Rattus norvegicus: one gene and its partner. The protein of the gene in region 1 interacts with the protein of each later gene in a biochemical or structural test. Links are inferred from orthologs where the notes say so. Each region holds a gene or a part of one and is shown on either strand. Other genes may lie near its edges.

What was found.
Region 2: the proteins of Nsf (region 1) and Napa form a complex in vitro, tested with the Homo sapiens proteins (2 studies listed by BioGRID). The link is inferred for Rattus norvegicus from reciprocal best matches to the Homo sapiens genes NSF and NAPA.

The regions. Positions count from the first base shown.
Region 1 is NC_086028.1:89,354,417-89,359,142, forward strand, and holds the start of Nsf (vesicle-fusing ATPase), read right to left. Parts: upstream 2,968-4,726; 5' UTR 2,922-2,967; coding exon 2,910-2,921; intron 1-2,909.
Region 2 is NC_086019.1:85,913,439-85,918,342, reverse strand, and holds the start of Napa (alpha-soluble NSF attachment protein), read right to left. Parts: upstream 2,909-4,904; 5' UTR 2,864-2,908; coding exon 2,766-2,863; intron 1-2,765. UniProt on the Homo sapiens protein: Required for vesicular transport between the endoplasmic reticulum and the Golgi apparatus. Together with GNA12 promotes CDH5 localization to plasma membrane.

The sequences.
Region 1 (4,726 bases):
CTAACGCTTCATTTTTGAGACAGGGTCTTATTCTATAGCTCAGGCCGGCCTAGAACTCAGTAAGTACACTGGACTGGCCTCAAACATATAGTGATCCTCCTGCCTCTGTCTCCCAAGTCCTGGCATTCCAGGCATGTGCCAACACACAGGATACAGCATACTAACATAGTTACAATAAGAAAAAAGATAAAGCTGTGAGAGAGGGACACAGGTCTTCAGGGCAGAATAACAAAGTATCCCGACTTACAGCTAGAGATCAGAAAAGGCTTCCCAAGCCTTCTCTGAGTAGGAGAAAGAAAAGAAAGAGCCCAGCAAAAGACCTTGTGGAAAGAGAAACAACCAAAGCTTCGAGGCATCGAAAGGCTTATATAACCTGAGCAGACAGTGAAAGTGAGCGGAGAGAAACAGAACAAAACCACAAAGAGCCTTGAACGCCTTGTTAAGTATCTGATCTTGCTCCCAACACTAACCAGAGGACCGGTTTAAGCAGTAAGGGACTTGGGAAGAATAACCAGTGTGGAGGGTGGAAGAGGGACAGAATGCCAAAAGGAGGCTACTTGGAAACTTCCTGCAGTTATCCAGACCAGAAAGAGAAAAGGGGATGGAGAGGAGGACGCAGAATGGTTAGCTGATGGGGGAGAAGGTTACAGCAACAGCTGCGACTGATTCCAGTATCGAGGACGGCTTAAAGCAGCAATGCTCCCAAGCCTACCTTCTCTGGGCCCTGATTAAATCCTTCATTTTCTTTAGTGTGCAGGTAGGAAGATAGTGATGACTTGTACAGGGGATGGAGCACGGGGATGTGGCAAGAGGGACAGACAGTAGGGATGGGAAAGGCTTCTGGAACCAGTGGAAAGCAGGTAGGATGGTTCACGTCTGTAATCCTGAGTCAAGAGACTCCACGGAAGCTGGAAAGCCAGCTAGCTTGGCATAGGCAGGGGCAAACAACAAAAGAAACCCTGTCTCAAGCAGGGTGCGTGGCAAATATTAACTCAATGTTGTCCTTTGACTGCCACATGTGGTTATGCGTGTACCCCTGCCCCCATACACATACCCCATACCCGTCAGGTGAGGATGCCATTCAGTGAAAGGAAAACAGAAAAATTACCAGGTAGGTAGGCTTAGATCACAGCTTTGAGTTTAAACTAGAGTTCAAATAGTCTTCAATTAGTATTTATTTATTTATTTAATTTGAGTCAGTGTCTATGTACTCCTGGCTGTCTTGGAACTCACTATGTGGGTCAGTCTGGCCTCAAATTGTCAGAGATCCTCCTGCCTCTGCCTCAACCTCTGCCTCTACCAGGGGTTAAAGACGGGTATTCATCCTTGTTCTTGATTTCAAATAGCCACTTTTACACATCAATTTGGAATTTAGAGGGCAGTTCTGTAGAGGAGGGGTGAAATCTTGAGAACCTCAGGCATGCGGACTGAGCTTTGGCTCAGAAGGGATTACCTGAGGAGATAAAACAGAGTGTGGGAATTGAATGACAGGGTGGAGGGGTGAGTCTGCAAGCGAGATGAGTCAAAACAGTATCGAGGCATCACAGAAGCCATGGACCAATGTCTTCCATTAAGGAGGAGACAGGCAACAATGTCAGATGCTCTGAGACATCAAGTATAACAAGGATCGAAAAAAATGGGCATTCATTTTAGGGATGCGTTTCAGTCTCACTGTGGTGGGTCAAGGAGGGAGCAGATGGTAAACAAATGAGAGACAACACACGCAGAAAAGCACCAGAATTTGTCACTCTAAAATGGGAAGAGGAAAAGTGACATCTGTGGGGGCAGAGGAAGGGTTTAAGGGACCAATGCATTCCAGAAGGGCTGATGATTCAGAAGAGGGGCTCCTGAGGAGGCAAAAATAGTCCCTAAAATACAGTTAGAAGGGCCAGCCTGAGAAAAATGGGGGGTTATGAGAAAAGAAAGAGAAAGAGATGAACCCAGACCTGTGACCTCTAAGGTCTCTTTGGGACTCTAGAATCGCATGACCTACAATTCTCTTTAGACAGGACATTTGCATATATGCATACATGTATGCAAACTTATTAAAATATTCAGGTGAAGTAAATCAGTCAAGCACATCGTTAGTCTGTAATGACGCAGTTAACGTCCCCAGGTTTCAAACAGTTTAATCTCTGGGCAGGATCCATCCATCAGAGCTCTTAGCTCTGATGCATATTGCAGTAACAGCAGTGACCTGGCCCCATCTCTCCTCATCAACCCCAATCTTACACCACGGTCCTACAAGCTTAAGGAGGAAGTAAAATGTAAATCCCTGAAGCTACAACACAGCCTGCTGCATTCGAAGCGACTGTCATTTAGAAAAACAAAACGTGACACCCCAAAACCATCTGCACGAAAGACATTGCTGCTGCTTCACTCGACAGTTGATAGGTTTCTCCCCAGGGGATGGTCTGAGGTTGGCTGTAAAAGTAATTTGCAGCCCCCACTCCTCTTTTCATAACGTCGTTCATTTAGGAAGAACGAGAAATGGGTTCCCACACCCTCGCCCTGACTGCAGCAGACTACACCCCGCGGTTATCCGGCAGTGCCACCTCAGAAACCCTCGGAGGAGTGCGGAGGGCACTCAGCGCTCGTCAGAAGGGGCTCCAGTGGCCACTACCCTCAAGGTGCTTGGAGGACGAGAGAAACGAGCCCCAGGAATGGCAAGGGAGGCACGAGAGACCCGGGGGACGAAGAGACAACCCTCGGGGAGGACAGAGTTTCTGAGCAGAGCTAATCCCCTGCCGCAGTTGCCCTGCCTCGCCTCCAGCCTTGCTCTGACCTCCCTTCCTTCAGCGTCTCTGGGTGCTCAGCCTCGCGCCCCTTCCCCGGAGCCCGCGTGGACCTCGCAGCTGTCCCGACCCGGGCGATCCGCTGTGAGCCCGGGTTACCCAGCCGCCACTCACCCGGCCCGCCATCTTCGCGGACACGTCCTGCTCCCAGGCTGCAGCTCCGCACTCTGCTGAGCCCGCCCCCGCCGCGCGCGTGCCCGCCTGCAGCCCGCCCTCGCGCAGGCGCGCAGCCGCCGGGAGGCCGCGCCCGCGCCCAGTCGCGTCCCCGGCGCCCTTCCCCAGGACGTGCGCGCGCGCACGGGACGAGCACCGCCATTTTGGCTGAAGACAAGCTAGCCGGCTCACCCTGTTTCCACAAAGCCATGTCAGTTGACCACGTGGCTTTAATGGAAAGCCAATAGCCAAAAGCTGGTTCTGAATTCGGATTCTCTTCGATCCCGAACTTTGCAGGCACACGAGTTTTGAAAGTGAATCATAATTATACATGTTTTAGCTTTATGGTTCGTTATTTTCACTTATAAGCACAATTAATATCTTTTTAAGGCTTTTTTTTTTATGAGCATTGGTGTTCTGCCTGCAGGTCTGTGCCAGATCCTCTTTTTTTTTTTTTTTTTTTTTTTTTCCTTTTTTTCGGAGCTGGGGACCGAACCCAGGGCCTTGCGCTTGCTAGCAGATCCTCTTTTTTTTAAGATGTATTTTTATGAGTATACTGTAGCTGTCTTCAGACACACCAGAAGAGGGCATCAGATCCCATTACACCATGTGGTTGCTGGGAATTGAACTCAGGACCTCTGGAAGAGCAGTCAGTGTTCTTAACCGCTGAGCCATTCCTCCAGCCCTGCCAGATCCTCTTGAACTGGAGTTACAGATAGTTGTGAGCTTCCATATGGGTGCTGGGAATCGAATTTGGGTATCCTAAAAGAGCAGCCAGTGTTCTTAACCACTGGACTATCTCTCAGCCCATACAATCTATATCTTTCATAGTCTTTTTTCCAGTATTGTTTCATTATTAAAGTATTCTGAGAATAAAATTTGCCCTAGGTTCCGTCTGTATATGAGGAGATACTTGTGTGTTTGAGCCAGAAGATAAGAAGACGTCTTCCTCGATCATTTGTCCACCTTATTTTTCAAGACTCGATCTCTCACTGAACCTTAAGTTCATCTCCTAGACTTTGCTGGTTAGCAATTTCCGGGGAATCCTTCTGTCTCCACCTCTATAGCACTGAGATTACAAATACCTGCTGCTGAAGTCACGGGTGCCAGGTATCCTGACTGAGGTCCTCCCCTACTCCAAAAGCACTTTATCCTAACGCTCAGCCTTCTCCCCAAACCTGAGTTCAGTCTTAACCTCCATGCTGCCTTCCATCACAGCATCTCTTCACCGGAATCTCAGAGGGCCTAACATCAGGCTGTAGGAAGAAAGATTCTACATTAGATGCTTGTTCATGTTCCTTTTTGAATTTTGCCTGAGACAATAAGGAATGTTAGGGTTTTGCCTTAATTTCTCATTGAAGAAGATGAGGACATGACTGCTCCAAGGTTAATGAGAAGGATTTTGTTGGAGTTGTGAGGGAGAGCATACAGACTGAAGACCGATAACAGAATAGGTTGAGTCATGAGAGGACCAAGAGAAGAGAGGAATAGAGAGAGAGAGAGAGAGAGAGAGAGAGAGAGAGAGAGAGAGAGAGAACCAGGAGAGGGAGAAAAAACAAGAGGCCAAGAGCATAGCTAAGAGAGGAACCAAGAGCACACCCAACAAAATTAGTGGAGTAGGGCTGGAGAGATGGCTCAGCGGTTAAGAGCACCCAACTGCTCTTCGAGAGGTCATGAGTTCAATTCCCAGCAACCATATGGTGGCTCACAACCATCTGTAAAGAGATCTGATGCCCTCTTCTGGTGTATCTGAAGACAGCTACGGTGTACTTAGATAT
Region 2 (4,904 bases), on another chromosome or scaffold:
CTTTGACCTTAAACTAAATGGTGCCTTAAAGCCCCCTAGTGTCTACCAGCCCACAAATCCAGAAGTGTGAAGATGGGTGAGAATAGCCTACTTGACCCGTGTAACCTGAGCAGAGGCCTCTTAACTTGGCAAGCCCTTAACACAGACATTCCATAGAGCAGAAGAAGCCTTGGTGAGCAGCTGGGGAAAGGCTGCTTGTCAAATGTTTACCAGGCAGCCCCAGTGGTGGGCCAGAGCAGGGCCCACCTGGTGGTGGTTTCTCTCCAGGTTATCTCAGGGTACCTCCAAGGACCCTGAGTTCCAGTGGGCCTTGCTCACTTCCCTACCTCCTCTATTCTTCCTGGAAGGACCAGAAGAAATGCACCTGCTCCTTCAAATGTTTGTAGAAAACTACTGTGGGGGCAGGCAGCAGCCTAAGGGAGGTAGCACCCCAAACTAGTCTGCCAACACCCTCCCTACATGTAGTGCCCACAAGCAGGCCTGAGTGTCTGGGACTCTCTGGGTGTCAGAGGTATCAGACTAATGGAGGGGGGACTATAAGCCTACATGGGCCAGGTCTGACCACCTGGTGCCTCCTCAGCTTCCTGTGCTGCTAGACAAATGAATCAAGTTTAGACTGCTCCCTTTATCTTTTACCCACCTCCACAGTGATCTTGTGGGGACTACATAAGGCTGACTGCCTGGCCAGGCAAGGCTGGGCAGTAGCGTGAACAACTGGCAGGCATGATCCACTATCACTGTAACAGGGTCCCACATACTGTCCCACAACCAGCTGTTGTGGGTTTTGTTTTTTTTCTAAAGGGTAAAAGAGGAAGTCATTTTAACAGGCCCTCACTAAAATCCTGCAGGCTCCCCAGTACCTCAACTCCAAGCCCATACTCACAGTCCTCATCTATGTCCAGCCTCTGCTCCCCCCTTTTCAAGTCACAGTCTGACTTGGAATTCTGCCTATGCTAACCCTTCCTTCAGCAGGCAGGCTTCTGGGCCCTTTCTCAAGCTTGTCCTTTCTGCTGCTCTCCAACTGAGAGACCTGAGATCTCCTGCTCAGCCCTGGGATGGAGGCTCATCCTCTAGGAAGCCATCTCTGTCCCTGTCCTCTACATTCTGGGCAGAAGCTCTTTTGCACCAGAGCGAGCTTCATTCCCACCATCCCTGCAGCCTAGACTGCCCTCCCAGACCACTGTTCTCAGCCTCACTCCTCACCAAAAACCTCCCTCAAGTTCTCAAAGTTTCTTTTCAGCTCGAGAACTTTGTGTGTGTGATAAACTGGCCTTTACACCCCACAGTTCTGCTCTATCAGTGGTTGGGAAGTGGTAAACAGGGACACACAGCTGCTCCCTTGGAGCAGCCAAGTATACACTTATCTCTCTGGGCCAAAGAGACCAGACTCTGAGCCATCAGGAAAACTACTGATGAAAACTGAGTTGGAGGTGCCATCCCACTACCATGCCTCTATACACACACACACACACACACACACACACACACACTCTCTCTCTCTCTCTCTCTCTCTCTCTCTCTCTCTCTCTCTCTCTCAAATGAAACATTTTCATCTAACTGACACAGCCTGTCACTAGCCAGATGTCTCAGCAGCAGGTACAAACATTTTTCAAGTTCCTTTGATAAACATTATCTAATGTCAAACAACAAAAGGGTAGCCTCATCCTCTCCCCCACTTCATGTCTTTCTGTCCTCACCCAGCTCCTAACAGTCTCTCCCAGAACCCAGGGCTTTTCTCCCAGCCTTCCCCCAACTTCCTAGGAGTCTTCTGTCTTCTTCAATCCTTGTTTCGGAGGCTTGATTTTGTGTCCTACCCTGAGCACAGCTCTTCCTCGACACCTGCTTGGACCTTTCCCCAGTGCTCCTCTCTGCTTGTTCCCTCAGGAGTCTTGCCTGCTCCCATGCAGTGTCGTCTCCCCTTACCCTTCCTACACCCCAAGGCTCTGCTCTATCAGTGGTGGGAAGTGGTAAACAGCTGGCCCTCTCCTCAGAGCTCCTCAAGCTCTCCTGTCCTACCATCTTGGTCTCCCCACCAGCATCTTACACTCTCTGACTCTGCTTCTTCCTGGCTGGTAAGCCTTTCAGAGGGCTCAATTCTGAGCACATTATACATAGTTCATACTCACAACAAACTTCTGCAGTCAGTTAGTTTTTACCAATGAGCCCTTTCAGGGAAACGTACTCCCCTAAAATAAAGAAACCTCGGAACTACATCCCAAGCATGGGTTCTTCTGCTCCCAAGTTAATATGGCTGAAGATGTCGAACTTGCATAAACTTTGTGTGAGGTACCTGCCACCTCCTGGGTGTGTTCAGACCCCAGACTTGAGGACCTCTACCCTACTCTGATTCTCCTGGTTGCCTCATCCTCCCATAGCCATTTCCTTGACCAAACCAGTGTCACTGTCTGTTTATGGCTGCCCCCCCCAACCCCCAAGTTTCCACCTCTCAGTCCAGGTCTCCTTAGTTACTTGCCATCAGTCACTCTCAGCAGGAAGCCACTACCCTCACACCTCGTACTCCGGCTCATCATGCCCAGGGTCGCCCCAGCCCGGGTGCCCTCGGTCTGGTGTCCTCACCCCGGCAGCCTGGGCCGCACAGATCCACGGTTACCGGCCTGGGAAAGGCGCGGCTACCATTCAGCCACAGGGCCGTCAGCCACAGGGCCACCCTCAGAACCTGCAAGGCCGCAGAGGGGCTCCCAAAGTGCAGAGAGCAGAAGAGCCCGCTCTTCCCCGCCTTGGGCCCAACCTCGCCCGCTGCTCACCCAAAGAGGCCGGAGAAGAAGGACTGCGAGTTCTTCACCTTGCGCTCCGCTTCAGCCAGCAGCGCCATAGCCTCAGCCTGCTTCCCGGAGGTGTCCATGACGTCGCGCAGCTGCTCGGTTCAGGCCCGACACAGCCAAGCTACGACTCACAGGCCCGGGACAACGCGCACTCAGCGGAGCTCCGCCCGCTACGTTGACGTCACCCGGGTCTGCTATCCCACGTGAACCGTGAGAGCCAACCAGAGGGTTCAAGCTGCGAAGCACTCTCGTCCCGGCACGCCCCTCCGGCTACCGCACTCCGCACCTTGACCCGCAACACGTGAGCACACGCCCGAGGTCTGACGCTGCTAGCCTCCTAGAACCCTAGAGCGCACTGCCACGTGACACCAAGTAAGCCAATCATAAGCTCGCACCGCCAAGTGCCAATTTCTCCCCCACCCCCCACAAAACGCGACCTTTGACTCCTTCCAACCAATCAGCAGGCTCCATAGATCTGTTCCGCCACGCCTCGGCGGAACTGGGAAGCACTGATCAGCTGACCAGTTTCTCGGCGCTCACGTGACGCCTCAAGGTTCGTTCTCGAGGTTTGACAGACCCAGCAGTTTAGTTCCACCTCCTGGTTCACTTTACGTCTTAGTCACTTGGGAGTAACAGCTTTGTAGTAAAAAAGAACCTTCTAACTCCCTCTGGCGATCGTCTCTAGAATTGGCTTGCGGAGTCCAGAAGTTCTCCATTTCTAGCTGGATGGCTCAGCTGCTAAAGGCAAGTTTAACAACTATAGTTCGATTCCAGGGACCCACATGGTGGAGGCTGAGAACTGACTCCTCCAAACTGTTCTCTAACCTACGCACACAACGCGTTTAGAATATTTTGCAGTGCCACACACAGAATGGCACTGGATACCCAGACCCATGTAAAAAGCTGGGTGTGTCAGCGTGTAGCTGTAACAGGAATGGGTGAGTGGGAGACAGGCATATGCCTGGAGCTTGCTGGCCAGCAAGTCTGGCAGAATCAATGAGCTCCAGGGTCAGAAAGAGACCTGGTTTCAAAAAATAAGATGCAGAACAACTGAAGAAGACTCCCGACATCAACCCCTGGCCTACACATTAAACATTGTTAAAAATTAGTGAAAAAAAAGTCTAAATAAAGCATGGGCAGTTATTGATAGTGGTTCAGTAGCTGTAGTAAATACACTACACTATAGTAAGAGCAACATCTTACTATAAGAGAAACTGGCTATGTGAGAACTTTTGGTACTATGCTAGTTTTCTGTAAATCTCGTTATTCTAAGGCCCTGTGCACAGCGATTTCAGTCCCAACAGTGTGCTGTGGTGCAAGAATCTGTATTTCTTCTTTACTGAAGTTTACTGATTAGCAGAGAACATTTGAGGAAAGTGTTATGTGAGTTGAGTGTTGGGGGTCAGGAAAAGGCAAAAGACATCTCCCCACCCCCACCTCCTTCCCATTGAGCACTTTCCCAAATATACCTGTGCTCCCGACTGTGCTCTGACCCCGGAGCTGGTGAGTCTGGAGGGCCACAAGCAGTTATGGTTCCCCTTCCATTTGCTGCATGGTCTCATCTTTTTGGAACAATGAGCTGTGCAGCAATAGATGACTATATACCCTCAACCCATAAGGCCAGCTGCTTCCACTCATGGAGTTGGGTCCTTCAGGGTAGAGCAGTGGAATGCTCACTGCAAAGCAATGCTCATGTCACTGGGAATGCCCACCAAGAAAAGTGCATTTCCTCATTTACCCACTACACACATTGGGAAAAAATGTTCAGGTAGGAAGGAAGAGAGCCATTCTGGTTCCTGGGCTGCCCTGTACCCCTCATTTCCCTCAAACAGGATGTCTCAACAGCTCCAAAATCAACCCCCACCCCTGCTGCCTTCAAGCTTTAGCTGAGATGTTGAGACCCTTTCTGTAGTGCTGGGATGGGGCCCTGGAACACAGGAGGCAAGGCATGGCTCTTGCAAGTTGGGGTTCGTATAGATGTCTCTGACCTGATATGGCATCATTCTGACAAGGCTGCCTGCTGACAAGGTCCTTCTCCTTCATTTCAGGTTGAGCAGCTACAGCCACACATGCTTTTCTAGCTTCAGTCTAACCGACCCCATTATCATGGCCAGATCATGC